Oryctolagus cuniculus: one gene and its partners. The protein of the gene in region 2 purifies or fractionates together with the protein of the main gene of each other region. This does not show direct contact. Links are inferred from orthologs where the notes say so. Each region holds a gene or a part of one and is shown on either strand. Other genes may lie near its edges.

What was found.
Region 1: the proteins of PRKAR1A (region 2) and VAPA purify together in Homo sapiens (affinity purification with mass spectrometry; 3 studies listed by BioGRID and IntAct, with this or other methods). This does not show direct contact. The link is inferred for Oryctolagus cuniculus from reciprocal best matches to the Homo sapiens genes PRKAR1A and VAPA.
Region 3: the proteins of PRKAR1A (region 2) and AKAP11 purify together in Homo sapiens (affinity purification with mass spectrometry; 3 studies listed by BioGRID and IntAct, counting the BioPlex papers as one, with this or other methods). This does not show direct contact. The link is inferred for Oryctolagus cuniculus from reciprocal best matches to the Homo sapiens genes PRKAR1A and AKAP11.
Region 4: the proteins of PRKAR1A (region 2) and DYRK1A purify together in Homo sapiens (affinity purification with mass spectrometry; 6 studies listed by BioGRID and IntAct, with this or other methods). This does not show direct contact. The link is inferred for Oryctolagus cuniculus from reciprocal best matches to the Homo sapiens genes PRKAR1A and DYRK1A.
Region 5: the proteins of PRKAR1A (region 2) and VAPB purify together in Homo sapiens (affinity purification with mass spectrometry; 3 studies listed by BioGRID and IntAct, counting the BioPlex papers as one, with this or other methods). This does not show direct contact. The link is inferred for Oryctolagus cuniculus from reciprocal best matches to the Homo sapiens genes PRKAR1A and VAPB.

Annotation. Positions count from the first base shown.
Region 1 is NC_091441.1:67,077,985-67,084,043, reverse strand, and holds the start of VAPA (vesicle-associated membrane protein-associated protein A), read right to left. Parts: upstream 3,491-6,059; 5' UTR 3,210-3,490; coding exon 3,131-3,209; intron 1-3,130. UniProt on the Homo sapiens protein: Endoplasmic reticulum (ER)-anchored protein that mediates the formation of contact sites between the ER and endosomes via interaction with FFAT motif-containing proteins such as STARD3 or WDR44.
Region 2 is NC_091448.1:11,159,416-11,165,330, reverse strand, and holds the start of PRKAR1A (cAMP-dependent protein kinase type I-alpha regulatory subunit), read left to right. Parts: upstream 1-2,183; 5' UTR 2,184-3,315; intron 3,316-3,530; exon of another isoform or gene 3,531-3,714; intron 3,715-4,768; exon of another isoform or gene 4,769-5,915. UniProt on the Homo sapiens protein: Regulatory subunit of the cAMP-dependent protein kinases involved in cAMP signaling in cells.
Region 3 is NC_091440.1:61,458,608-61,463,950, forward strand, and holds part of AKAP11 (A-kinase anchor protein 11), read left to right. Parts: coding exon 1-1,937; intron 1,938-5,343. UniProt on the Homo sapiens protein: Binds to type II regulatory subunits of protein kinase A and anchors/targets them.
Region 4 is NC_091435.1:7,580,893-7,586,673, reverse strand, and holds the start of DYRK1A (dual specificity tyrosine-phosphorylation-regulated kinase 1A), read left to right. Parts: upstream 1-1,912; 5' UTR 1,913-2,721; intron 2,722-3,251; exon of another isoform or gene 3,252-3,326; intron 3,327-3,402; exon of another isoform or gene 3,403-3,468; intron 3,469-4,043; exon of another isoform or gene 4,044-4,167; intron 4,168-5,781. UniProt on the Homo sapiens protein: Dual-specificity kinase which possesses both serine/threonine and tyrosine kinase activities. Exhibits a substrate preference for proline at position P+1 and arginine at position P-3.
Region 5 is NC_091442.1:3,792,286-3,798,280, reverse strand, and holds the start of VAPB (vesicle-associated membrane protein-associated protein B/C), read left to right. Parts: upstream 1-2,276; 5' UTR 2,277-2,501; coding exon 2,502-2,559; intron 2,560-5,995. UniProt on the Homo sapiens protein: Endoplasmic reticulum (ER)-anchored protein that mediates the formation of contact sites between the ER and endosomes via interaction with FFAT motif-containing proteins such as STARD3 or WDR44.

The DNA of each region.
Region 1 (6,059 bases), on a different chromosome or scaffold from region 2:
AAAATAGACTTGTTCCTATAGGCAACTGAGAACTACTAGAAAACTTTTAAGGAACAGAGTAATGAGATTTATGCTTCACTGGGGGATGGAAGATCTCTTTCTCTCCCTTTCAAATACATAAATAAATCCTTAAAAATTACATCCTTATAAATGCACTTTCATATATTAACAATTGCACAAAACAGTGCCTTCTTAAATACTGAGATTTGTAGAAAAAAACTAAGCTGGTATCTCCTCCAGAATTATGCAAAGTGCTGACAATTCATCTTGAGATAAATGAGTTCCAGAAACAAAGGGATCCCAGCTCAGAAAAATTAAACGAGACACTCCCGAAGAGATCATCTTATTTTGAGACAAAAATAAAATGAAAATGAATTTTGCAAGGGCCAAGCATTGTGGCCAGCAGGTTAAGCCACTTCTTGGGATACCCGCAACCCTCCTATCCAACTCTCTAATGCATCCTGGGAGACAATGGATGACAGCGCAAGTGCTTGGGACCCTGTCACCCATGTGGGAAAACAGGATGAAGTTCCAGACTCCTGGCTTTTGCCTGGTCCAGCCCTGGTTGTTGCAGCATTTGGAAGTGAACCAACCAATGGAAGATTTTCTCTCTCTCTCTCTCAAGTAGATAAAAATCAACATTTAAATTAAGTATTCAAAAAGAATTTTGCAAAATGCACTTTTAACAGGCATTCCTTTAAACAAAAAGTTAAGGGTGATTTAGGACAAACGAAGTCTTAGTGTCATCATCAAACCAGGCACAACAAATAGACGGCTGATTCTAAATAAGTCTCTTCAGCTGGTGTTGTGCCGTCCACTTAAATGTAGACAAGTTTCCACCACAACGAAAGGCAACCTTTGAAAAACACTGAGGAGGCAAAAAACCAAGCACCAAAACTGTCAGCCACTAGTTTACTGCACTGCTCCTCTCCCCCAATCCTCGTGCTCCCCGTGAACCCACCTCTAAAGCAGCACACACTCCCTGAGAAACTTCGGTCCGCTCTGCGCCTGGCATTCTCCACTGCAGTGTTTACTCAGCCACTCCCTTAGCTCAGCCCTCCAGACAACTGGAAAGCAGCCTCTTCCCGGGCGGCTTCCGAAAGGTGGAGGAGGGGGGCCTTGCTCCTCAGAGGTGTTTGCGCCTCGGTAACGTGGTCTGCACTCACTGGCCTTTTCTGGACGACTTCTTCCACAAGGCGAGAACAACCCGTTCTAACATCACAGCTGTGTATTACCAGGTACTCACAACACGTGAAATGCATGAATAAGACAGTTTCTAAGTTTCTGTTGTGGAACCTGCTTCCTAAGTTACTGTGTGTGTCGTCGTGTCTTTGGTTGTTTTCTGAACTTGCTTCTCCACTATGAATATTACCAAAGCGACATCATAACCTCTCTAGGGAGAAACCTGTCAACTGCAGACATCCTGACCTAAAATTTGTTTTAAAGGCTTCTAAGTCCTAATGACAATCCATCTATGCTTATGCAGAAGCTGCCTATTGTCAGCCAGTCAAAACGTAAAATCAAAATGCTCTTGAAAAAATATACATCACATTAAATTCCTTCAACTTAAGACAACGGCTACTTGAGTAGGGTATAATTACACCATATTCCTCAAAGGTCCCCCTCCCGCTAAAACTATGTACTATCATGGAACAGGTACACTTGCTACAATAGAATGTGCTGGCTACACCTCAAAATATGCCCTAAGAGTTGCCTTTCGAACAAAATCCTTACCTAACAGCTCACTTAGGTTTCCATTTAGATTTGCAAATTCACTCAGTTTGCAAAGTCATCATACAACTGTTACTCTCACAATGCCAGAAGATATTATTTTTCCATTTCCTAAAACTATTTTAAAATTTCCTCGCGGACTTTTCTTTTGGACTCAACTCTACACAACAATAAAGGATTTCAGTTGTCTCTTTTAGCACTGGAGTTGCCATACACCGCACCAAAATCGGTCTCATCCAAGCTACTGCAACTGAAACACAAGACCCTGCCTTCCAAATCGGGGATTCACTTTGCAGTCAACCAAAGAAAAGACAGAACCTGCTTTCTATTTAGATCTTCGCACGATGAGGATTCCTTTAAAAAAAAAAAAAAAAAAAAAAAAAGTGTAACCTGTTTAACTCGTTTCCCTAAAGTACCCTGCATACGGGAAAGCCAATGGACCAAACGGGGTCACCAAGACACACCGATCACTCACTCCATCACAGGCAGAGCCCTGAAATCAGCAGAGTTCCAGAGCTGGGTGTCACCTTATCACCCTTCTCAGGGTTTGGGGGGGAGGGGGGGCCGCAAACGCAAAGGCCAAAGTCAGCAGAACTCGAGTGGAGGGCTACGAAGGCGCCGCCACGGGTCTGCCGCGCGCGGAGACGTCACGGCCGAGGGGCAGGCAGACCCACTCCGAGCAGCCCACGGCGATCCACTCGGGGCTGACGCAGGCCTTCCCGGCCCGCACGCGCCTGGGGCTCTGCCAACACCTCCGGACCAGTCCGGAGCGCACTCATGAGCGCTTCTCCGCCTCCCCCGGCGCTCCGGTTCCCTGACAGCTGAGTTACCCACGGGACAAAAAGGCGGGCAGCGACGCCCTCCGCCAGGACCCAGGGGCCGGCCCCACCCAGCTCGCCCGGGCCCGAGCTGCGGCCCTCACTCCTCCCGCGGGTCCGAGGGCCGCCGCGCCCGCCCTCGCCGCTGACAGCCAGACGCCGGCCTGCGCCACCTCCACACGCCCCGCGCCGCTGCACACCCGGGCGCACGCTCGCGGGCCGCCCCTCACCCACGCCCGCCCCGGGCCTCGGGGGCCAAGGACGCGAGCCCGCGGCCGACTGCACCCGGGAGGCGCCCCCGCGGGACCGCAAGATGGCGGCGGCGGCGCCCGGGCCGGTTCACCCCCACCACCACCACCCCGCCCGCCTCCTCGCCCCGGCCGGCGCGCGCAGCGAGGCGCGGGCGACGGAGGGAGCGGGCAGGGGCTGGCCGGCCGCGGGAAGGCGGCGAGGGAGCCGCCGGAAAATGGAAAGCGCCCGGGCGTGGGGGAGGGGGCGCTCCCTGGGGCCGCGGCCCCAACCTGCCCTCGAGCCCTCTGCTCGCCCCCTCCCTGCCCGGAGGTGTCCTCCTCCTGCCTAACCTTTGAATTTGAGGTCTGTGGGCGGGTCGAGGACCAGGATCTGCTCGTGCTTCGCCATGGTCCCGGAGGCGGACGCCATCGGAGAGACAGCGCAGAGCGGGGGCGCGCCCGCGGCGGCGGCGGTTTGCTGGCTGGGGGCGGGGGACGACGGCGGCGCCGGCTCGGCGGATCTCTACGAGGGGGCCAGGCTCACGGATCCCGAGCCCCGACGCCTGCCGCTCTGTCGCCGGTCTGGTGGGTCGCCCGCTGGGTCAGCAGCGCCGGGTCTCACAACTGACTCAACCCCACACCAGCCGCCGCGGCCACGCGCACTGCGATCCTCGGCGCCCCACGTGACAGCTTCTGCGTGCCTACGTGCGCGCCCCGGCGGCCGAGAGAGGCTCTGGCGTCCGTCCCGCCCTCGAGGCCTGCCTAGCGCGGCACTGGGCTGGTGCGCCTGCGCGTCCCCGGCCTCGCGGCCGCGAGCACAGTCCAGCTGTCAAGGGAACGGGCGTGAACAGAGGGCGGAGTAAAGCCCGCAAGGGACTGGCGCCCTTCGCAGCGCTGGGCAAGAGGCGCAGCCCTCCGTCTCGCTGAGCGCAAAGTGCGAAACTAGGGAACCTGCCACGGCAATGCATCACCATTTTTCAAAAGGAAATGCCTAATGGAAGGAAGTAGCCGGGAAGCGCCGATTCACTACAACTCCCAGCATGCTCCTTGCCGGGGGAGGACTCTCCGCCGAAGGACTGATCCTTTGCGGCCTTGCGCGGTGCCTTCTGGGAATTGTAGTAGCGGCTGCTTGCGGGCGGGAAGGAGAATGAGGTCCGTTGGAGAAGAGTGGGGTGGGGCCCGCCGACTCTCTTTTTGGCTCTCAGACAGCGTCTCGTCCGCGCTAAAAAAGAAAAAAACTTTCGAAGGCTGACTTGCAGCTCCCCCCCAACCCTTACAGCAGGGATTTGTCAGTTTGCTCTGTAGTTCTATCCACCCGTCTATTGGTAGGGCTGAATTTTCTGTCGTGTTCCCATCCAACCTCGCCTGCTTCCTGAATTCGCTCCAGTGATGCAAAGAGAGATGAGGAAACGGACCTCGTGAAAGAAGCAGAGGCGCCTTGGGGGAGATATGACAAAGCACATGTTAGAACGCGAGAAATGAAAGTCAGAATCTGCAGCGCTGAATTCAGTTGCTGTATTCTGTTCTTCAGTTTTGATTAATGACGGATCCGAACCAAAACAGTTGTCACATTCACGTGTCAGAAACGAATATCATCTGCATCACTTATGATAGCCTGTAGTAAACTGAAACGAAAATGAAGAAAATCCCCGCCGCAAAGTTGCTGACAAATCATCAACCGATTGCCAGGGTAATCGGGGACAGGAACAGCAAATGAAACAAATGAATGCGTTGCAAATAAATCATTGCATTGTATGCTGCTGCTTGAATTTAAATCCCTAGGAAGCATCAGAAAACAAAGGGCATTGATGCTGGTGCCATGAAGGAGCAGCCCAGTTTGTCTAGAAAACAAATGAGACAAATGGAACAGCAGACGGGACAGAGGCACAAAGTCCGACCTTTCCTGTGCAATCCAGGTACCAGAACCCATCCGGAAATAGCTCTGCAGATCAGCTAATCCAGCACACACAGGAAACTGTGCCACACAGGAGGAACAGATCTTCAGCCACAAAAAACCTGGAAGGATAGGCAGGCTTAAATAGTTAGAAACACAGATGCTAAATTTGTTTTCCCTTTGATTTTCTTTACTCACAAAACATTTTTGAAATGCCAATAATAATCAATGAAGGAGAATCCAAAAATTGTATGTTTATAGGAGAAGGGCTTAAGCCTAAAAAAAATAGATTGAGATTGTCAATCAGTCCACAGAATGGTTTCCCACATACGTTTACTTATTTATTGAGGATCCTAAAAGCCTTTGTAAATCACAGTGTCTTACCAGTGTCTTTCCCAGGGACAAGCTATCTGTTTTAAGGGGCCTCTCCACAGTAAGGCAGACAACTCTCTTAACCAAAAACATTTGAGAATCACCAGTGTGCAAACAGCCAATTAGCAAGACAGCGTGCGCAGGAAGTTCCCAATCACTCCCTTATGAAACAATGGTTGCCCAATCTCAGGTTTAATGGGAAGCCTGAACTGGATACATTCCAGTTTCCAGTCCATATCATTAAGAAAGCTCTGCCCACTTAAGTCATCCATCTTTAGAACCCACAATTTTTCTCCTCTCATTGCTTCAAAAATTGTACAGGTACAGTCTTAAAATGAGTAAGAATTTGTATATCTAGTATTTTTTTTTAAGATTTATTTATTTGAAAGGCAGAGTCACAGGAAGAGGCAGAGAGGGAGGAGAGAGAGAGAGAGAGCGAGATCTTCCATCTGCTGGTTCACTCCACAAATGGCTGCAACGGCCAGAGCTGCACTGATCCAAAGCCAGGAGCTTCTTCCAGGTCTCCCACGTGACTTGGGCCATCTTCTACTGCTATCCCAAGCCATAGCAGAGAGTTGGATTGGAAGTGGAGCATCCAGATGGATATAGTGTGCCCATATGGGATGCCGGCACTGCAGGCAGCGTCTTCACCCACTACGCCACAGCGCCGGCCTCCATATCTAGTAGTCTAACACAGGAAACATTTTGGAAATAAGCACACCCCACCACCTCATTACTTCTTTGAGGGCAAGACATTCATCATGACTCGGAGTCCTCCTGAATCATCTGCCTGCATCACACCGGGACCTAAGTGGTTTGTGCTTTGCTGTTTATTACTGCCTTTCTTCTAGTAGCACAAAGAGCTTTACAGGCATCATCAGAGGCTACTTAGAACAGCTCTATATAACAGTTGGCAAGTGTTACTTTTGTTGGTAAATATGGAAATGAACACACAAGTGAGAGCTCTCATGTCAGTGATAGGGTGAAATCATGAGGGAGGGAAAGTTGCCTAAT
Region 2 (5,915 bases):
AAATAGCTGGGGCTGGGCTAGCCTGAAGCCAGGAGCCAGGAACTCCATCTGGGTCTCCCACATGGGTGGCAGGATCCCAAGCACTGGAGCCATCATCCACTGCCTCCCAGGGTGCACATTTGTAGGAAGCTAGAACCGGAATCAGAGCTGGGACTCCAACCCAGCTCTGCTATGGGATGTGGACATCCCAAGTGTCTTTTTTTTTTTTTTTTTTTTTTTTTTGACAAGCAGAGTTAGAGAGAGACAGAGACAGAGAGAAAGGTCTTCCTTTTCCGTTGGTTCACCCCCAAATGGCCGCCACAGCTGGTGCGCTGAGCAGAAACGAAGCAAGGAACCAGGTGCTTCCTCCCAGTCTCCCATGCGGGTGCAGGGCCCAAGCACTTGGGCCACCCTCCACTGCCCTCCCGGACCACAGCAGAGAGCTGGACTGGAAGAGGAGCAACTGGGACAGAATCCGGCGCCCCAACAGGGACTAGAACCCGGAGTACCGACGCCACAGCCAGAGCATTAGCCTAGTGAGCCGCGGCGCCGGCCCCAAGTAGTATCTTAACCATTGGACTAAGTGTCCACTCCACCAATGGAAACTTAACTAAGAAATAGATTACCAAAGTATTCCTCCCTTTTACATTGTAGCCATTTTTAATTTTCCTTCTGCTTATAACCCGTATCATTGATGTTTATTTTGCTTAAACAACATTTTGCTGTTGTTTCATGGATACTTAACAGCAATTATGGAATTTTATTTTGGAGGACAATTTACTTGCAGTCCCACTATTCTGAAAAGTTACTTTATTGCCGGCGCTGCGGCTCACTAGGCTAATCCTCTGCCTTGTGGCGCTGGCACACCGGGTTCTAGTCCCGGTCGGGGCGCAGGATTCTGTCCCGGTTGCCCCTCTTCCAGGCCAGCTCTCTGCTGTGGCCCGGGAGTGCAGTGGAGGATGGCCCAAGTGCTTGGGCCCTGCACCCCGTGGAAGACCAGGATAAGTACCTTGTTCCTGCCATTGGATCAGCGCGGTGTGCCGGCCACAGTGTGCCGGCCGCGGCAGCCATTGGAGGCTGAACCAATGACAAAAGGAAGACCTTTCTCTCTGTCTCTCTCTGTCTCTCTCTCTCACTGTCCACTCTGCCTGTCAAAAAAAAAGTTACTTTATTGAGCCTGTCAGAGATACAGGCCAAAGAAAAGGCGAACAGAGCTTCGAGTCAAGGGCAGAAGGCCGGGGAGAAGGGAAACCATCAAGAAACCGGAGTGGAACAGGAGTCATTTCTGAAAGGTAATTTACAAGTTGGCGTTCCCATGGCACGAAAGATCACTTGCACCATTTGGAAAGCAGCGAGGCTGTTTGGCTTTTCAGAACAGCTGTCTCGGTGAACTCTCCCCAGCCAGGCTCGACTCTCTACGCTGTTTCCCTTTTTGTCTTCCAAAGCCCAGCATAGGCGGAGTTGGCAGCTAGAACAAGGTTGCAGGCGCTGACACAGGAAACAGCCCGTGGCTGGACTGGTGCCTGCATGTAGCTGAATGGGCACACACCGCCCGGTCTTAGCAAGGAAGCAGCCGTCAACCAAAGCACTTGTTCAATGTCACCAGCTTGCTCCTTTCCTTATTCTAAGGGTCTCAGCTGCTGTAGGAAGGCAATACTAAAGCTGTGACACAGCATCCCTCAGACTGAACTTGGTGGCTCTTTTGTAACAGGGAGAAGTAGGAAGTAACTAACATTTATTTAATGTATCCCACACTGTATGGAGCACTAAATATGTAAAAGGAGACTGATTTCCGACCGCTGGCTGTGTCTAGCTTGCGTGGCCTAGGTCAAGTCACTTAATGTCTCGGTGTGTCCTGTTTTTTTTTCTGTAACAGTAATCAGAACACCCACATCACAAATGTGTTATGAGGAGCAAGTCCACTATTAATGTGAACAGTGCCTGGACACGGCGAGCGCTGTGTGTGTTCGCTGTTATCTCCCATCAGTTAACGTTAACACTGCCCTGTTTGTCCTTTTTCCCACTGAAGAAACTGAGGCTAAGGGAGATTAACTCAATTACCGGTGATGGCAAGAGCCGGAAACCAAACTGATTTGTCTGCCTGCAGTGTTTTCTTCCTGGAACATGACTGGGCCTGCTCAATGCTATCAAATTCCCCCTCCTGCTTGCCAGCTTAGCGTTGGGTTTGTCAGCTCGTCTTTGTACCCACGAGGGTGAAATCCTACACGACTGGGGCTCTATCTTTAATCCCCCATTCCACTCATCCCTGGAAAGAGGCCAGGGGTCCCTATATGGGGTTCAGGGGGAGCAGCAGCTGGTTCCTGCGCTGTCCGGCTCAAGGCCTAACTCCGGCATGGCCAATGCTTCCTCTATTAGAAAGCAAGGGCGGACCTCGCTGGAGAAAAGAAGTGGTCTGACAAGTAGGTCTCTAATCGCGGGATTCCAGGGAGCAGAGGGAAGGCGGTGCAGCTTTAAAAACAACTCCACTAAAAGAGCAAGAAACAAAACAAAACAAAAGTGAAATAAATTCCAAGATCGCTGAAGCTAATAATATCCAAAACCATTATGATGGCAACCCGGAATCCATCTAAAAATTACTGATGAGATCTTTTGGTTTTGAGGGTTAAGTCCATTTTGTATTTTACACCTATGGCCTGGGACCGAAACGCGACGCGAGCCGCGGTTCCCGGCCAGACTCTGGGATTTCTCTACCCATGTAGCGGCTTCACGCGTCGGCCTCCACCGGCAGACGCTCTGATGGAGAGGAAAAACAAAGAAATGGCTGAAGGAGGAAGGTCGTTTTCTGCCCCCCGGGGAATGCCCCCAGCGCAGGCAGCGCCGCCGCGGAGACCCGGGGCCTGGCACGGCTCACGGGCCGCGGCCAGGCGTGAGGACCTGGGGCGCTTGGGGTTCGGAAAGACAACGTCCGTGACCGGGTCTCGTCCCCCCAGGGATGGTGTGGCCGAGGCGCGGCGGGGCTCGGATTTCCGGGACCGGATGGCGGTGCCCAGCCCCGAGCCCTGCGCTGCAGGGCGTGCGCGTCCCGGGCATCCGTCCGAGCTCTGGCCGCCGCGCAGCTGCTGCAGATCCGGGGGCCTGGAAGCTGCAGGCGTCCCCCCTGCCCGGGCCGCAGGGCGGAGTCGCCCACCTGTCATCAGAGGCGCCCCACGTGGGCCGGCGGGGAGGGGGCGAAGGGAGGGAGAAAAGGCCGAGGCGTGGAGGGAGGCAGGAGAGTGGGAGGAGAGGAGCCGAGGAGCGCGGAGGGGACACGGGGGGCGCGGAGAGGAGCCCAAGAGAGGCACAGAATAGAGGACCCGAGACACCTGCATAGGACAGGTAAGGCGGCCCAGGTGCCCGACCAGGTGGGAGGGAAGACCCAGGCCAGGCGGCGTGCGGGAAGAGACGGGCGTGAAGAAAAGGCTGCGGATAACGGACGAGGAGAGGCCGAGGCAGAGACTCCGGGGGCGAGGGGGGCGCGTGGGTCCCTGGAAGGAGGCCGGGGGAGGCCCTGGGGCCGCTGCGCCTTTAACGTTGCCAAGGCGACAGCGCGGGCCAAAGCGAGGCCCATTGACGTCAGCAGCCGAGCCCTGATTGGCTGCGGCCGGGTCGTTTCCGGTGGGGCCGCCGCCGTGCCGTTATCGCGGAGTGCAGCGGGGTGGGAAGCAGTCGGTGAGGGAGCCCCGCACGCCGCAGCCTCGTACTCGCAGCCCCGTGTCCGCCGCCGAGCGTCCGCAGGTGAGGAGGTTCTGCTAGAGACCCCGGCGCCGGCCTTCGCCACCGCGGCGTCCTCTTTTTTTTTTGGGGGGGGGGGTTGGGCCGACCCAAGATGGCGTCACGGGGAGCGACCTGCAGGGGGACGGCCGCACCCCCAGCCGCTCCCCGCGGGCATCACGCCCTCGGCTCCGGGTCTGCACCCCGGAGATCCCCGCTCCCGGCCGCCGCGGCGTCCGCTGCGGTGCGGGGCACCCGGCCGTCCCGTCGCCGCCCCGCCGCCCCGCAGCGCGCGGTCCCCCGGCCCCAGGCCGCCCGGCCGCCTCCGCCCCCGCGCGCCGCGGCCTCCTCGGCCGCCCTCGCCCCTTTGCTGAAGGGCAGCGACGGCAGCTCGGTCTTGGGCGAAGCCGCGTCCGTTGCCGGCCGAGCCCGCGACCCAGCCGAGGAGGCTGTCTCCTCCTCCTCCTCCTCCTCGCCGATTTCCGGGCCGTCTCGGTCGCTGCCCCGCGCGCGGCGGTCTTCGTCCGCTCTCACCTCCCTGGGTTTCCCGATGTCCCTTCCGGCCGGAGCAGCCGGGCGAGGGGCCGCTGTCCCCTCCCGCGGCGGTCGCGACCGCGGCCTCTCCCTGGGAGCTGGGCGTTAACCCCTCGGGCCCGGGGCGCGCGAGCCGGGGCTGTCCGGCGGCGAAGGGCGGACGAGCGAAGGCTTCCTGTCGGTGACCCCCAGGGGGGTGCGGCCCGAAATCTGGAGCCCTTTGCGCAGAACGGGTCTTAAATATTGCCTCGAAGTTGCGCTTTGGAAATGGTTGTCACGCCTGGATTTCTGGAAGGAAACACTTGGCTGGTTTTCGGTAGAAACCGTGTAGCGAAAATGTTGAAATATGAAGTCGTGTTTTTTTTTTTTGGAGGGCGGGGAGAAGCAGAGTTCTCTGGCCCTTTACAAACACAGAGTTAATTCAGGCCTGTTCCCTTAAAAATACCAAGCCCACGACATTTGGACATTTCGGGCTTCACGTGCTGGCTTCTTTAATCTCGGGGTGTTTTTGTTCGTGTCCTATCTCTCCCAGTGTTGTGTTTTTGCTTTTTTTTTTTTTTCCCCCGCCTAATATCTTGGTCTGTTTCAAACCAGCAAGAACCAGTTTCGCCTCTTGGGCGAGTTCTTTGGTCTCTACCAGCTGGAGAGCCAGTTTTAGAGAACGATTTCTGTCATCAGTTGAATACCGGTACTGATAAGCCTCCAGTGTGCCCGCGTGTTTCGAGGCATAAAGATCCGAGTTATCCCTGTTCTTGCTGGCCTCCGGTACTGTTTGAACTGGGCCTCTGCCGAAGTGGATTTTCAGGTCATGTGGTTACCCGACCTGGAAGAGCAGCTGGTATAAATCTAAAGGAAATACACTTCAAAATTTTTCCTTTTTCGTGTTTATTTCTTAAGTAGTAGCATGATTGTTTTTCCATGGCTTGAAGTTTATGTGCCTGTCAGGGGGGAGCCCCAAACTTTCTCCTGGTTTGTGTGTTAGTCTGCTTGTTACTGACCTTTATCCTGAAAGTTGTCAAAGCAAAAAGAGTAAGGTGTAGCACTTGGAATAGCTGTTAAGTATTTTTCTTTAAATTTACAGTTCGGTGTCTGGTTTTGTGTGCATTGTAATTAGAAAAGTGTGATTGATGTTGAATTCATTTGCAGAGTGGTGGGGAAACACTCTTCTCTTCTAAATTTAACTGCATAATTGGGAGTCCAGAGGGAAGCTGTGATGGTCCTGTTGTTAAATTACCATGCTTTCAATTCTAGATAAGCTTAGCTGCTCCTTGTTAGATTTCTGTTTACTTCTCCTCAAGGTAGTTTGAACCTTCTAAAATCCATTACATGGGATCTAATTAGTGGATCTCCATGTAGGCTTGAAACTTAACATGCTTTATTTAGCATTTTTCTGCCCACACGAGTGAGCTCTGTTGACAGTATTCTGGTCCTAAGGGGTCTTTCCCTTCCCTGCCCTCCCCCACCGCTCTGAAGGATTTCCCCTCTCATTTAGGACTGGAATGTGTTGAGAGGTTCCAGAATGAAAAGGTTACTTTAAAAACTCCACTGGGGTTCCTTTTGGGATTTAAAAAATTGTGATGAAGCTACTAGCGGGCAGTCTGGTCCTGTGCTGTGTGACATTAGGACTCGGATGGGTCAGGGAATGTCAGGTGCTGCTCCTTGTGCTTGCTTTCACTTGTAATTCTCTGCCT
Region 3 (5,343 bases), on a different chromosome or scaffold from region 2:
GGACAGGAAAATTCCTTTCCTCATTCACATGCTTTCTCGTCTTCAGTGCTTACCTGTGTAGATGGCTTTCATGTGGAAGACAAGCCAAAAATCAGAGACAGAAATGTAATACCTGACACTCCTCCATCGACTCCTCTGCTACCATCCCAGGCCAGTTCTGAGTGGGATATTAAGAAGTTAACCAAAAAGCTGAAGGGTGAATTAGCCAAAGAATTTGCACCTGCTACACCACCTTCCACCCCTCACAACTCATCTGTTGGTAGTTTGTCTGAAAATGAACAAAATACCATAGAGAAAGAAGAGTTCATGTTGAAACTCATGCGGTCTCTTTCAGAAGAAGTTGAAGGCAGTGAAGATGAAGAGCACCCACAATTGGATGTGAAGTCAGAGCACTTGGGGAAGAAAGTTCAATTTGCCGACGGATTAGCTACACACATCATTTCTGTGGCAACTGAAATGGCAGCTTCCCACTTAGATAATAAAATAACTCAAGAACCCAAGGGTAAATGTGCTTACTTGGATGTGCAGAGTCAAAGAAATGCATCGCCTACTTTTTTAAATTGCTCAGCTGAAAATTTGCAAACATTGTGCAGTTTTGCAGGTGATATGGCAACAGAAGTCATTACAGAAGCTGAGAAAATTGCAAAAGCTAGAAGTTGCATGCTTTTTAGGCAGAGGAAGAACAGTTGTTATCTTGATGGTGACCGAGATTATCGATCAGAAGAGAGATTAAATATGGACGTTATAGCACACCCAAGAGAAGTGGACCCATTTCTTCTTTCATTACCACCAAGTTCTTGTATGTCAGGGCTGATGTATAAGTATCCCAGCTGTGAAAGTGTGACAGATGAATATGCAGGCCACATTATCCAAATACTAAAACAGGAAGGTGGTAACAGTGAGTTAATAATGGATCAGTATGCCAATAGACTTGCTTATCGATCTGTTAAGTCAGGATTACAAGAAGCAGCTAAGACAGCCAAAGTGAAGTGCAACGCAACAGTGTTTCCTGTGCAGAGCTCACAGGTGAAGACAAACAGTGAGCTGCTAATGCTTTCAAATAAAGAGCACCACCAAGAAATAGATAAACAAAGACAAAGTAAAAGAAATGGAGGTTACCTTTGTAAAACTCACACTTGTGAAAGGACACAGGATACTTACAGAAGTGAGTGCTCTGAACTGTGTAGTTTTTCAGCCTCTCTTGCTCACAGTATAGCAAGAAACGTTAAAAAAGAACTGACAGAATCCACAGTTGGCTTGCCAAAATCCTTAACAGAGCCTTGCCTTTATGACAGATCGGTGTGTGTTGAAGACACTGAGCATCGCATTGAACCAGAATTTCCTAAATCTCCTATGCCTTCCTCTCGGCATCACAGATTTTACCAAAGAACGGGCAGTGTTACTGGACATGGATATGGAGAGAATGTTGTTCAAGCTATAGAACAGTATGCTAAAAAAGTAGTGGATGACACTATAGAGCTAAGTTTAGGATCTGCAGTTTCCCAAGTGTCTGATGCCACAAGATCAGCAGATAGGCTCACTTATGCTGAAAAGCTGTCACCACTTATAAGTCGAGTTTGCAGATACTGTGACCTTAAAGAACTTCATGATTGCACCGGAAATTCATCTCAGCACTTTCCCAGACAGAGTTCACTTTCTTGTAGGAAGCCAATTTCAAATTCAAAATTTAGCAGTGTCTATCAGAAATCAAAAATTTTTCATCTTGATGTCCCTCAAATTCACGTTAACCTTGATAAGAAGACGTTGCTTGCTGAGAAGATAGTTGCTGAAGCAATTGAAAAAGCTGAGAGAGAGCTGAGCAATGCCAGTTTGGCAGCTGATAGTGGCATTGGGCAAGATGGTGTTAGCTTCGCTGAAAGCCTTACCACAGAAATAATGACATCAGCCATGACAGATGTTGGCCAGGCTGTTAGCTGGTAAGTTTCAAATTTAACATGAAAAGTTAAACTCGATTGTGTTAGGCCCTCTTTGGAGATACTGTTATTTTTAATCCTAAATTAACAAAAATTTTCCCTATTCCATTTGTTATTTCATATCCTGTGGCAGACTCATAGATTCTGTCTCCTGATCCCTTTTGAGCTGGAAGATGAGTTAGTAGCAGATCATTACTTTTACAAGTTCACAGAGCTATTGCGTAGGTAAAGTTGAATGAAAGAAATAGCTGGGGAATTTGGAATGTTACCATGTTAATTTTCTACTCTAAGGTTAAATTTTCATATAATGTTTTCTTTGCCTGCAAGGTAAGTTTTCTTGTAGACAGCTTGGATTAATCCTACTGCCCTGGGGCAGAAAACAGAAATTCTCCAAATACTTATGCTTCCTCTTTTGATCAGCTCACAATCTAAAGGGATAGTTCTTTTTGATAGTCTTTCAGGTCTTGTCTTTGAGTAGCTGTCTCTTGAGTTCAGTGATTCTAACAACTTAGTTAATGTTTTTACTTTTTTCCCTTTTCAAATTATTGACACATAATAATTGTACACATTTATGGAATACAAAGTGATAGTTTCAGTGTATGCAAGTGTAATCTAATCAGGACAGTTAGCATATCTGTTACCCAAAACACTTATCATTACTTTGTGTGAAGATCATTCAAAATCTTTTCTTCAAGCTATTTTAAAGTACACAATAAATTATTGTTAACCCCTAGTCACTCTAGTTTGTAAAGAACAGTAGAACTTCCTCCTCATCTTTACCTGTGTTTTTGTACTTGACAACCAACCTCTTTTTTTAACCTTATTTCTCCCTGAGAAAACATTGGTGCCAACCTGTGTTACTTGTTTGCAGGATTGTATTTTCTAAGTCTCACTGGAAAGAGAAATGCTCGGAGTTAAGGTGGAATTTAATGGATTTGTGTGCTATCCTGGATTGTTGAGTAGTTTTTGTCAAATGTGACTAGGATTGCTTCTTTTTTCAGTCATCTTCAAAGAGGGAGCTTGGCCAGGGCTCTTGAATCCAGTTGTTCCATGGCATCCTCTTGAGATGAGAGATGCTGCAGGTTTCTGGTGAACTTGGGGAGCTTTCTGTTTGCCAGATATACTCCACTGCTTGTTTTTGTATAGACTTCAAACTAAGAATGATTATGTATGACATGTGAATGTCCATGGGAAATTGTGTGATAGTGATTTTTTTTTAAGATTTATTTTACTTATTCGAAAGAGAGAGAGAGAGAGAGAGAGGGAGAAATGGAGAAACAGAGGTCTTACATCCACTGTTTGACTCCCTAAATGGTCACAATGGCCAGGCCTGGGCCAGGTTGATGCAAGGAGCCAGGAGCTTCTTCCTAGTCTCCCGCATGGGTGCAGGGGCCCAAACACATGGCCTTCCTCTGCTGCTTTCCCAGGCACATTAGCAGGGAGCTGGATCAGAAGAGTAGCAGCCGGGACATGAACCAGTGCCCAAATGGGATGCTGGCACCTAAGGCAGCAGCTTAACCTGGGAAGTGAATTTTTAGAAGGGCAGAACCTCTAGACTACATTCTGAACTATCATTTTTCTGAGCTAGAATAACCCAGCAGTCATCAAAAACTCTTCTCTAGACCTCATCCTGTGGATCATTTCAGCCAAAAGCCAAATGAATGTGACACATAACAGGAAAAGGGCTCAAAGAAGAAAGTAATGCTCTCTTGTGGTCCACAACTGTAATATGCCTGTCCTTGGACTGCCTAATAGAATAATGCTGATTGTTGTGTCTTAAGTAGAAAGTGAAAATAGCCCAAAGAAAGAGTGCAGTTCAGGAGTTGTTCTAGCTATTGAGCATTCAGAAGTTAAGTAAAAAAGGCAAAAAAAAAAAAAAAATCTGTCTTCTTTTGGAGTTTAATTTTTTAACACTTTTTTTTTTTTGAAGATTTATTTTATGTATTTGAAAGAGTGTAACAGAGAGAGAGAGAGAGAGAGAGAGAGGTTTTCCATCCACTGGTTCACTCCTCAAATGGCTGCAACGGCTGGAGATGGGCTAATCCGAAGCCAGGAGACAGGAGCTTCTTCCATTCTCTCATGTGGGTGCAGAAGCCCAAGGACTTGGACCATCCTCTGTTGCTTTCCCAGGTGCATTAACAGGGAGCTGGATCAGAAGTGGAGCAGCCAGGACTTGATGAACCAGTGTCCATATGGGTTGCTGGTGCTGCAGACGGTGGCTTAACCTGCCATGCCACAGCACTGGCCCCTCTCTTGAAGGTTATAGTAGACTGAGATAGACAATAGATAAGTATAATGTATAGTATATCACTTGGTGGTAAGTGCTTCAGAGGAAAAATCAAAGAGAGTAGCTCTGAGTGGAGTAGTTTGGGCTGGTTTGCAATTTTGAATAGGTAGCAGGGATTGCAGTGGTGGTATTTTAGGACTTTTGTTCCTGTTCTGATTGGTGAGAAGCCATTAGAAGCTGTTTTTGTTTGTTTATTTTCATCTATTTGAAAGGCAGACACACACACAGACATATATCTTTTACCTGCTAGTTCACTCTCCAAATGCTCACGACAGACAAGGCTGGACCAAGAGCCGAGAATTCTGTTGGGGTCTCCCAAGTGGGTGGCAGAGTCCCTAGCATGAGCCATCACCTGCTGCCTCCCAGGATACTTCAGCAGGAAGCTGGATCAGAAGCAGAGTAGTCAGACTAATACTTGAGTACCAAATGTGGGTATCCTAATCTGTGGCTTAACCCACTGTGCCACAATACCCACCCCCAGTGTAAGATTTTGATTAGAAGATTGACATTTTCCCTCTTCACATTTAAAGACATCACTTTGAACTTTTTTTAATTAAATATTAGGAGGCAAGCAGATAGGTGTTTTTTTTTTTTTTTTTTTTTTTTTTTTTTTTTTTTTTAAGATTTATTGATTTATTTAAAGATAGAGTTACAGAGAAAAGAAAGGGGAAGAAAAAGATCTCCAGATGGCCACAACAGCCAGTGCTAGGCCAGGCCCAAGCCAGGAGCCAGGAGCTTCATCCAGGTCTCCCATGTTGCTGGCAGAAGCCCAAACTCTTGGGACATCCTCTGCTACTTTTCCTAGACCATTAGCAGAGAGCTGGCTCAGAAGTGGAGCAGCGTGACTAGAACCAGCACCCATGTGGGATGCCTCTCATTGCAGGTGGTGGCATTACCTGTTACACCACAATGTCAACCTCACTTTAAACTGTTTTGAGGGTAAATTGAAGAGGGGGCAGTCATGATAGTTGAACACTGAATGAGTGGGTTATGATGATGGAGTAAAAATAGAAATGGTTCTTCATTGGAAGGAAAAGTGAAAAGGTTATGATCCATGGTAAAGATCTTGAAGAGATTTGGCTTGTTTGAATATAGGTTTGATTCATAATATTAGAATTCTTT
Region 4 (5,781 bases), on a different chromosome or scaffold from region 2:
GAGGAGGCTTAGTGAATGACGGCTCATTCAACCGATGGAATACTAACTGCTATTAATGTTATTATTTAAATTTCAATTGTTTAATACAAAAATGAGTTCATAGCACAATTGTAATTAGACAAGGCATGAACACACCTGCTGGTGTGAAATGTGTGTCAGTGCACACATGTCTTCTTAAGAAAGTCCGGAAGGGTGGATGCTGTTATGAACATACAAAGGGGGTGTGTTCCTGAGTGATGCCTACTGGTGATCCTAGCCTACTTACTGTTTTCTGTATGGTAAAATTGTTGGTAATTACCAGAATCTAATTTTTAGTTTTTGTTTGGAACTTGGATATAGTTGCTTATTAACTTCTTGGTTCATAGCATACCCCTATTGTGAGTTTATATAGGGCCTCTCTCATTTTAACTTTGCTTCTTTTTAATAAGTTTTTATATTCATGAATTACTTTTAATGTCAGAACAACGTTTTAAAAAGATTTATTGATTTACTTGAAAGTCGGAGTTACACAGAGAGAGAGAGAGACAGAGAGAGAGAGACACAGAGAGAGGTCTTCCACCTGCTGTTTCACTCCCCAGATGGCCACGATGGCCGGGGCTGGGCCAAGCTGAAGCCAGGAGCTTCTTCCAGGCCTCCCACTTGGGTCCAGGGGCCCAAAAACTTGGGCCATCTTTGCTGCTTTCCTAGGTGCATTAGCAGGGAGCTGGATTGGAAGTGCAGCAGCCAGGACTTGAACTTGCACTCCTATGGGATGCTGGTGCTGCAGGCAGAGGCTTAACTGATTGTGCCACATGGCAGGCCCCAAAGTCAGAACAGTGAATAACGCTTGTACAAGCAGGGCGATGAAGGGCTTCACTTGTCTGTAAGAACATCAGGGGTGTCAGAAATTGTGAGCGCAGAGATAAGAACACTGGCACCAGTCATCTGGGACCAGGGCACATCATAGAGACCTCCTTTAGTCAGGGTTATCTCTGTGACAACTCTGCTTCCAAACAGTCTGCCGAAACACAGCCTTTACAGCCACACCTGGGTTTGAATTCTGACTTCCCCTGCTCACGGGTGGGCCGGCTTTGGGAGAGTCACTTCAGGGCTTGCTTTCTCAGCCGTATAACCGAGATACAATGTTATAGTGAGGATGAGACCTCTAACAGGCGTGGGAAGAAGTGCAAGCCGATAGTAACTGCCAGTTGGGGGATTCTGCTTCTCCGGATTTTCTTAGGCCATCAAACACCTCTAAGCGAAACCCACGGGGAGGGTCTCTCAGCTCTGCACCACACTGGCATCCATACCAGCGTCCTTCCTGGCTACGTGTGTTCTCTTGTTTGGTGCCAGCCATAACTTGCTGGTAGTGTTTAGGGGAAGCCCACACAAAACCCGTTGGGCACGCAGTGCGATGCTGTCTAAGGCAGTCACGCTGGGAGAGAAATGAGCAGCGTTCTACACGGGAACACTGGGGACGCCTCTGACCCCTGTGTGCCTACGACCTGAAGACTTCCCTCATCCCATGAGCCCCTCGACCCATCTGAGGCGAGGATCTACTCCCGGCGATCTTGTCCTATTCTGTCTCGGTTACTTAGATGTGCATTATGCAAGCTTCCTCCATTGCTAGCAATGAAAACTTGACTCGGGAATAACTTAGTGGTCAAGGTGGCACTTGCTCAAGTGTCCGGCAGCAGTGAAACCTTGGCGGATGGGCTGGAGTGGGGAGAAGGCAGGAGAGCAGGTGGAGGGAGGAAGGGGTTGTCTTCCAGGTGGAAGTTTGAGCTTGGGAAGCACTGGGTGACAACCTCTTTCATGAATAGGGACACTGTTGGCCACTTCCTCTTCCTTAGATGCGAAGCTGTATGCAGACCTCAATTACATTAGGAGGGCAAGTTTGAAAACACCAGCAATCCAGAACTTTTATTTTTTTTAACCAGTCATGAGAATCAGTCTGAAGCTAACCACTTGCCTAATTTTTTTTTTTTTTTTGCCAAATTTATTTAAGGTCTGGTCTGATTACTTCAGGGCCTTTGCTCATTTGAATGATCGCCTTAATATATCAGTGCTGTACCTGCAGACTGTGGGAGGGGAATTCTGCTGGAAATTTACACAGGCTGGAGGCTTTCATTGGGATTTCTCCTCTTACACCTGTGTCGTCTGTCAGATTGTGTCTGTGGCTAGTCTGTGAAGAGACTGAGCCCAAGACCCCGACACGGACACTACCTGCACACGGCAAAGTCAGGCTTAGAAATCAACCACCAGATTAGCGACTTTCGCTGCGTGCAAGCCCGGACGAACGCTGATTAAACACCATTACCTGGGGGGGCGGGGGTGGCACAGCAGACAATTCCCAGCACGCCCAGCATGGGGAGGGGTCCACGGGCTAATGCACCAGGAGCCGGATGTTAGGGAAGGGCTCCGGCCGCGGGCAGCGCAGGACGGGCTCGGCACCCACGCGGGGTCTGCAGTGGGAGGGGGCGCGCCGGCCCGGAGGCTCGGACGTGGGTCCCACGTGGCAGGGCCCGGCCGCGCGTCAGCCGCAGGGGCACCCCGGATGCGGCCGCGGCGCCCGGGATTCCTGGGATGTCTGAGGCGCGCGGGCGGCCTCCTCCCCGCCCCCGCCGCGGCCTCCGTGGGCATTTTCCGGCGAGGGGGGCCGCGAGCCCTTCCGAGAACGGCTCCTCCGCGCGGCCGTGCGCGGCCGGCGCGCTCCCCGGGAATGCAGGCGGCCGCACCGCGGTGAGAGCCCTCGGGCCCGGGCGCGCGGGGGTGGGCTTCCCGGCTTCCCGCCCGGCGGCGGCCCCGGCGCCCCGGCCCCTCTCCGCGCCCCCCCACCCCGCCCCGCGGCCGCGCGCGCCCCTCCCCCCGGCGCGGGCGGGGCTGCGGGCGCCCGACGCGGAAGCGCGGGAGGCCGCGCGCGCTCCCGGGGCCGCAGTCGGCGCGGGCGCGGCGGGCGCGGGGCGGGGCGAGGCGGCCGGGGAGGCGGCGGGCGCTCGCGCACGGGCCCGGCCGCCGCCTCGCCCCCTTCCCCTTCCCTCCCTCGGCCCGGCCGTCCCCCTCCGCACCCCTCCCCCGAGCGAATCACGCGCCCTCCTCTGACACTCGTAGCGGGCCCGAGCTCCGAATTTATCCTTCACGTGACCTGAGGGGGGTTGGGTGGTTGGCTGGGGACCGAGGGGGAGCAGGAAAGGAGGGAACGAAGTCTGCCGTTTCCCGGGCAACAAGCCCCGCCCGCCGGCTTGGGGCCGGGGGGGCGGGCGGAGGACGTCAGCACGTCAGCCGGGGTTTTGCGTTTTGATTGACAGTTGCCATAGCGACCGGGTCGGTCCGTCGCCATTTTGTTGGTTGGTTTTTTTTTAAACCCTTTCGCTTCCCGCCCGAATAATAATAAAAAGCCCCATTGGAGTGAGGCGGGGGTGGCGGCGGCAACCGCGGCGGGGGGATCCGGGGAGACTGCTGCCGTCGCTGCTGCTGATCGCGGCCCAGGTCGGGCTCGGGGAGCGGACACCCCGAGCGGGGGGTGCGGGCGCCGCCGCCGCTGCCGCCGCCGCTTCTGCTGCTGCTGTTCCTGCTGCTGCTGGTGGTGCCGCTGCCGCCGCCGGCCAGCGAGCGAGCGAGCGGGCGGGCGGGCGGGACCGGTGTGAGTGTGCGAGTGTGTGTGTGCGAGCGAGCGGGCGTGCGTGCGTGTGCGAGTGTCTGTCTGTCTGTGCGGGCGCTCGGGGGCGGGCGGTTCGGGCGCTCCTGGCGGAGAAGCCGCCGCCGCCGCCGCCGCCGCCGCCGCTCGGGCCCGGCGCTCCTCGCTGCGCAGGTTTGGAGCGCGCGCCATTTTGTGCGATTTACAAAATCCTCCTCGGGAAGAAGCCGCCGGCAGCGGCCGCCACTCGGCGCCCGGCCTCGCCGCCGCCGCCGCCGCCCTCCGCGCGGCCCCGCCGCCGGGACTCGGGGCCCGGGGACTGCGGTATTTGCCGGGGAGGGGGCTGTCGCCGCCCCGGCCCCCGGCGCCGCCGGACCCGCGAGCGCGAGAGACTGAGGAGGCTGCGGCGCGGCCAGGAGCCGGCCGCGCCGGGGGCGGCGAGAGGCGGCCGGGGCGGCGCTGGCTGCGGAGGCCGCGGCGGGAGCGCGGCGCGGGAGCCCGAGGCTGAGACTCACCGGAGGGAGCGGCGCGAGCGCCCCGCCATCGTCCCGGTGAGTGTCCGGCCCGGCCCGGCGCTCGGCTCCGCCGGGCCCGGCGGAGGGAGGGACCTGCCATTTTAGGAGGAGGCGCCGCGGGGCCCGGGGCCGGCCGCCGGGGGAGGGAGCCCGCAGCCGGGTCCCGGCGGGGCGGCGGGTGCGCGCGGAGGGAAAGTTGCGGAGGGTGGGAGCGGGGGCCGCGGCCTCCCGGGAGCCGGGCCTTCTCTGGTCGCCGGGGCGGAGGGAGGAGGCTGTGTTCCTCCTCCTCCTCCTCCTCTTCCTCCTCATCCTCTTCCCCCAGCTCCTCCCTCGTCCCTCCTCTAGGTCCCCACCAGTGTGGGAGCCGCCGGGGTTCTTCGCAAGGACAATGCACGGGTTAAGGGAAGCGGGGCCGCGCCGGGCGCCGGCGAAGGTCGGGGCCCGCTGGCTCGGCGGCCCTCGGGGGTCCGCGCCGGGTGGGGGTGGGGCGGGGGACGCGGCGTGCTCGGAAGTTGGGGCCGGAGTGCGGGGGAGCGGTGACCTGCTTAAGCCGCCGCGGAGACGCGAATTAAAATTGATACCTGTGTATTGCTACAAAACTTCGCGAGTCTATTTATAGGCACAGACCCGCCGAGGCTTCGCAGGCACCGGGGCCGCCGACTGTCTGAGCATTCGGCGAAGGCCTCCCCCCGCCCCCTCCAGCCTGAAACAGTTAAAAATGGCAAAATTAGTGAGTCAGTGGTTGCCTGTGCCTTTCGCCCGTCCCTGGATCCTAGGACTCCCATACTGCAGGTGCAGCGCTGGAATGCCAGCACCGTTTGCTTCTGGAATTCCGCCCCGACGGTCGGAAGAGACCCCCGTCTGCATTGTTTTCCGCATGTAGAGATTAGGGCAGATGGTGGCTGGCACTCCTCTCACGGCTTTGGGGATATTTTACCCCGTGTGCTGCCGGTAGGAGGTGTTAACCCATTTTACAGATGGGCACATTGAGCCCGGAGAGCGGGCAGTGACTCCTCCAAGGTCACACAGCTGGGGCTCCCGGAGCCAGGGGGCTGGCTAGGTTCTAACTAGCAAATTTCGGAACGACTTGCGTGCAGTGACTCAGGGTTCGATTCTAAGAGACTGTGTCTGTCCACTTACGGTTTCTGGCATGGGATTAACTTTGTAGTTTGCAGAAGTGGAGATGCAAAGCGGAGGTGAGCCTCTTTAATGAGACTTGCCAGCCCTCTCTCCCTGAAGAAAACCAGGCAGTCGATTTTTGAATGGAAGGAATTAATATTCCTTGGTGCTTCTTAGTCTTCACACTTAATTTTAATTATAGACATCCTTAAAGTGTTATGAGTCATAAAGTTTTGTGTAGTTATTTTCAGTCATTTTTCCCTTTGAATATTTAGATTTCTTCTGTACCTCATACATGTGCAAAGTGTTTAATAATGAATACACTTGGTACTTTGATTTCGAGGTATTTTAGTAATTCAGTGGAATTACCTTTAGCCTTTTTTTTTTAAAAAAAATTTATTCATTTGCTTTAAGAGGATATACTCCTTTCAGATAGGTAATAAATCTGAAGCTAGAGCTAAAATTTGGCACGCCAAGGTTTTAAACTGAAGAGGATTGTTTCAGAGAAACGGTGGTTTAAGGAAGAAGTTT
Region 5 (5,995 bases), on a different chromosome or scaffold from region 2:
ACTCAAGCACAGAACACAGGGACGGGGACTAGGATTCTGGCCCAGAACCTAGGGACAGGGACTAGGATTCCAGCCCAGAACCTAGTGATGGGGGTTAGGATTCCAGCCCAGAATCTAGGGACAGGGACTAGGATTCCAGCCCAGAACCTAGGGATGGGGAGTAGGACTCCAGCCCAGAACCTAGGGATGGGGGCTAGGATTCCAGCCCAGAACCTAGGGATGGGGACTAGGATTCTGGCCCAGAACCTCGGGACAGGGGGCTAGGATTCCAGCACAGAACCTCGGGACAGGGGACTAGGATTCCAGCCCAGAACCTAAGACAGGGGACTAGGACTCCAGCCCAGAACCTGGGGATGGGGGGATTAGGATTCTGGCCCAGAACCTAGGGATGGGGGGACTAGGATTCCGGCCCAGAACCTTGGGACAGGGGACTAGGATTCCAGCCCAGAACCTAGGGACGGGGGGCTAGGACTCCAGCCCAGAACCTGGGGATGGGGGGATTAGGATTCTGGCCCAGAACCTTGGGACAGGGGACTAGGATTCCAGCCCAGAACCTAGGGACGGGGGGCTAGGACTCCAGCCCAGAACTTAGGGATGGGGGCTAGATTCCGGCCCAGAACCTAGGGACAGGGGACTAGGACTCCAGCCCAGTACCTGGGGATGGGGGTTTAGGATTCTAGCCCAGAACCTAGGGATGGGGGACTAGGATTCCGGCCCAGAACCTAGGGATGGGGGCTAGGATTCCAGCCCAGAACTTAGGGATGGGGGAAGGATTCCAGCCCAGAACCTAGGGACGGGAGGCTAAGATTCCAGCCCAGAACCTAGGGACAGAGGACTAGGACTCCAGCCCAGAACCTAGGGACGGGGACTAGGATTCCAGACTCCAGAGCCCTTACGTTTCAAGGGGACAGAGTACAGATATTCTTAAAACATGAATTTATATGAACACCTGGCAAAAATTCTAGGGTAAAATTACTCCTCAAACAACATAAATCGAGTGTGTAAAGTAGAATTAGAAAAAAAGTCACCTCTAAAGAAGCAAGAAAGGAGAGGACAAAACCAACCAACAAAGCCCTCAGGACAAACAGAAATGACCATGGTAGAAATACAGTCCAGGCATTCAGTGACTATAACAAGTGTTAGTGGTCCAAACGCTCAAGCTGAAAGACAGAGATGATTTTTTAAAAACACCTTTATTGTGAAGAACGTGGAGCACACAGAGAAGTGGGGAGAGCAGCATGAACAGCGCTGGCGAACCGGACAGGCGGGGCCGGCCGAGCGCACCCGGGACCGGGTACCCGACAGGCACCGCCCGAGGCACCCGGGGCCGCGTACCGGACAGGCGGGGCCGGCCGAGCGCACTGGAGCCCGCGTACCGGACAGGCGGGGCCGGCAGAGCGCACCCGGGACCGCGTACCGGACAGGCGGGGGAGGCCGAGCGCACCCGGGACCGGGTACCCGACAGGCACCGCCCGAGGCACCCGGGGCCGCGTACCGGACAGGGGGGGCCGGCCGAGCGCACCCGGGACCGCGTACCCGACAGGCACCTCCCGAGGCACCCGGGACCGCGTGCACAGGGGCCGTCGGGGTGACAGAATGAAGTGGCTCTAAAGGCAACAAGGATGCCCAGCGTCCACTTCCGAGGGGACGCGGATCTGGGCCCCGGCAGCGTTCAGCCACGCACTGCGTCTGCCTCTCCGCACCCGGCCACGGTCGCGGGGTGCAGATCTGCCCCCTCTTAGCCGACGGCTTTTCTACACATCTGTTACATGTTTAACGCACAGTGGCTTTTACGTGAAAAGCACCCGGTAGAGCGGCGGAAAACGAGCGGGCAGTAGCTGGCAGTTGGTTGTACCTCGCCCGGACCGCGCACTTTCTAACAAGTTCCTCCCCCAGTGTTCACAACCTCGGCGCCTGGCACCGCGGGAGCCAAGTGCAAGTGTGCATTAACTGTCCCCGTCCCGCTGGTGGTCGCCACGGCCGGCCCCCAGCGGGCCGTCCACCCGCAGCCTCGGCCCTGGACTGCCGGCCCTGCAGGGCACCCTCCGACCCCGCCCCCGAGCGCCGCCAAGCCCCGCCCCCCGAGGCAGCCCCGCCCCGCGCCGGTGCCGCGCCTGCGCGCCGGCCGCCCCCCCCCCCGCGGGCCTCCGCGCGCGCAGCCTCTGGCCCCGCCCCCCGGAGCCGGCGCAGGGCGCAGCTTCCCGCGGCCCGAGCCAGCCAGCCGGCCGGGTGCGTGCGTGCGTGCGTGCGTCGCGGCGTGCGTGCGTGCGTGCGTGCCGTGAGCTCGCCGGGCACCGCGGCCTCGCCCTCGCCCTCCGCCCCTGCGCCCGCAGCGCGTCGGCCGCCCCCGCCCCGCCCGCCGCCCCCCGCCGCGCCCGGCCCGCGCCCCCGCCGCGCCCCCGCCGCGCCCCGCTCTGTCGCTCTCCCGGGGGGCGCGGCCTTGGCGCTCGCGGCGCAGGTGACCTCTCGGGTCTGCTGGCCGGAGGTGCCCGCCGACGACCATGGCGAAGGTGGAGCAGGTCTTGAGCCTCGAGCCGCAGCACGAGCTCAAATTCCGAGGTAAGCCCGAGGCCGCCGCCGCCCCGCGCGCGCCTCCGCCCCGACGGCGCCGCTGCGGGGCCCGGCCGGCCGGCGGGGGCCTTCGAGGCCCTGGCCGAGGCCCGGGGCTGCGCCGGCCGGGAAGGGGCCGCGGTGCGCGGCGCCAGCCTGGCCCCTGCTGCCCGGCCCGCTGCGGACAGCCGCGGGGGCCAGGCCGAGAGGACCGGGCCTCGCCAGGCGCGGCCGACGTCCAGCACGTGCCCGACGGCGCGGTGCAGGCCCTCCTGTCCCCAGGACAGCCTGGCGCTGGGCACCAGGAAGCCGCGAGCCACACCTCCCCCGTGGGAGGCTCCCGCGCGGGCCGCTCCGCTGTCACGCGTTCGTGTCCGTGTCCCGGGACCTTGTCTGACTTGGCGTTCCCGCCCAGCGCACGTCCTGGGCGTGGGTGGACAAGACGGACGAGGCCTCCGCCCTCGGAGCGCTCCCCGGCCGCCGCAGGACACCGGATCCCGGGAGGAAGTGGCGCTGGCCGACTGGACAGGTCGGCGTGGCCCGGCCAGCAGCGGGGGCTCCGTCAGGCGTCTGCGCGGGGCTGGCCGCGGGCACCGGCTTCTGTGGCCTGCGGTGCCCAGTTGGCAGACGGGGCACGTGGACCCCCGCTTCGGAGCGCGCACTGCCCGTTGTGCTGCCCGACCCCTGGGCCTCGTCCGGAACTGTGGCTGCTGGAGTCCCGGTGGAGCGTGGAGTGACCCCGAGGTGGGAGCCCGCGGCGGCCTCGCGCCTTCGGTGGGAACCCAGCAGAGGCCACGGGGACCCTCGCCCCGCGGCCTGCGGCTGCGCCTGCGCATAGGGCAGACGTTTAGGGGAAGCCACGCTTTCCAGTTGCGATTTTTTTTTTCCTGGGAGTGAGTGAACTGCAGCTCCCAGTCAGCCAGCGCCGCTGCCGCGCGTGTTTCTGCACGCGTGGGGTGTGCGGGGTCCGGCTCCGTGTGCGTGCGCGCTGCCTTCGTTCGGTGCGTCTGGGCACGGGTGAGGCAGGCCAGGCAAAGCCGTGACTCGGGTGCGCCCGAGATAACGTTTAGACTCGACCTTGTCGTCACCCGACGTTGGGTCCCTCCGGGAGAGCGGCGTGTGGCTCGACCTGGTGAAGGGGCCTCGGGACGGGCGTCCAGGGAGCCGACGCGGACGCGACGAGCTGTCTGCAGTGCTCCGGATAGCTGGCCTGTGCGCCCCTGGGAGTTGGCGCCTCCGCGCCTGCGGTCCACGGACGTTTCCCGAGTGCCTGTCCCACGCCAGAGGAAGCAGGACGGCCCCACTCGCTGCCTCCAGCGCTTGAAGTCAGGAGGCGGTGGTGGTGCGGCCATGCGAGGTGGTGCCGGGTGCCCCGGGCGATGCGAGGTGGTGCCGGGTGCTCCGGGCCATGCGAGGTGGTGCCGGGTGCTCCGGGACCGGGCCGTCCGAGCTGCGCTGCGCGGGCGCAGTGGAGGCAGGCGGGACGTGGGGGCCCTCCCGCGGGGCAGGGGTGCCGAGTCAGCTGGTTTCCTGGGACACGGCGGCGTTCCCACGACGGCGGCAGAGGACACCTGTCAGGGTTGCAGGACGACGTGCACACAGGGTGGTAGTGGACAGGAGGTGCCGCTGCTGTCCAGGGGGAGGCGACTCCCCCCACCCCCGGCCCTGGTGCTGTGTCCTCCTGTGTGACGTCACGGAGAAGGGCCCTGGTGCAGAGAACTCCAGTTTCTGTCCCGGTTCCTCACGTGAAGATGCGTGAGCTCGGGCTGACCAGGTCACTTCCAGCGCCTGGTGCCACTGGTGACTTACGGGGTGACACTCGAGGCGGCCCTGTCTCCTGTGGAAGTTTGGAGGGAGTCGCGGTAGAGGTGTTACCCTGCTCGCAAAGTGCGTGGTTCTGTACGGTGGTCAGCGGTTGTATATTACAACCCTGGAGGTGGTGGGCGGTGGCTGAATAATACTCTATGGAGGTCAGAGGTCAGCGGCTGTATATTACCGTGTGGAGGTCAGTGGTCAGCGGTTGTATATTACCGTGTGGAGTTCAGAGGTCAGTGGCTGTATAGTATTCTATGGAGGGGGTGGTCAGTGGCTGTATGATACTGTGGAGGTCAGTGGTCAGCGATTGGATAATACTTTATGGAGGTCAGAGGTCAGCGGTTGTATATTACCGTGTGGAGGTCAGTGGTCAGTGATTGTATTATACTCTGTGGAGGTCAGAGGTCAGTGGCTGTATAGTACTCTATGGAGGTGGTGGTCAGAGGCTGTATAGTACTCTATGGAGGTTGATGGTCAGTTGTGTAATACTCTATGGAGGTCAGAGGTCAGTGGCTGTATAATATCTATGGAGGTCAGAGGTCAGTGGCTGTATAGTACTCTATGGAGGTGGTGGTCAGCAGCTGTATGATACTCGGGAGGTCAGAGGTCAGTGGCTACATGATACTGTGGAGGTCAGAGGTCAGCAGCTGTGGAATACCCTATGGAGGTGGTGGTCGTGTTGTACCGTATGGAGTACTGGAAGCACAGGGCTGTAGAGAGTGCCAAATGCCCAGTGCCCTGTGCAGGTTGGCAGGTGTGCGGTGCTGTACGGAGGACTGAGTGCAGGGCTGTACATTTTTGTAAAGTACTGCAGCGAGTACTGAGTGCACAGTGCTGTGGAAGTGGTTAGGTGGCACAGTACTGTTTACAGCACTGAGTACAGAGTGCTGTGCAGAGTGGTGGTTGTAGACAGCTGGTTTCTCACTTCCACTGTTCTACCTGGAAGGCGTGGCAGCGGACGGTGATCTCTGTGGCCATGGGCTGACTGATGTCACGGTGGCCAAAGTCACTGGATGCTTTTGCCAGGAAAGTGGCTGAGAGAAGGTGTGGGGTCCGCCTGCTGAGCCTGTTAGCCTGTGCCTTGAGAAGAGGCGTCTGGTGCATGTGTGAACCACGTCGTGGGCCTTTTGTTTGTTGGGTTGTTGTTTTAAACTGAACACCAGGACGATAAAGTTAGAATAAAGACTCAGTGCCTGGGGCGGACCCTGAAGCGTAGTGGGTAAAGTTGCCACCTGCAGTGCCAGCATCCCGTATGGGCACCGGTTCGAGTCCCAGCTGCTCCTCTTCCGATCCAGCTCTCTGCTATGGCCTGGGAAAGCAGTAGAAGATGCCCCAAGTCCTTGGGCCCCTGCACCCACATGGGAGACCTGGAAGAAGCTCCTGGCTCCTGGCTTCAGATCGGTGCAGCTCCAGCTGTTGCTGCCAACTGGGGAGTGAACCAGCGGATGGAAGACCCCTCTCCCTCTCCCTCTCCCTCTCCCCCTCCCCCTCCCCGTCCCCGTTTCCGTCTCTCTCTGTGTAACTCTGACTTTCAAATAAATAAATAAATCTTTAAAAAAAAAAAAAAAAAGGACTCAGTGCCCTAGCCTGCTGTGTGGATAGAGCATTCGTTTCAAGGTGAGAAGTGGCA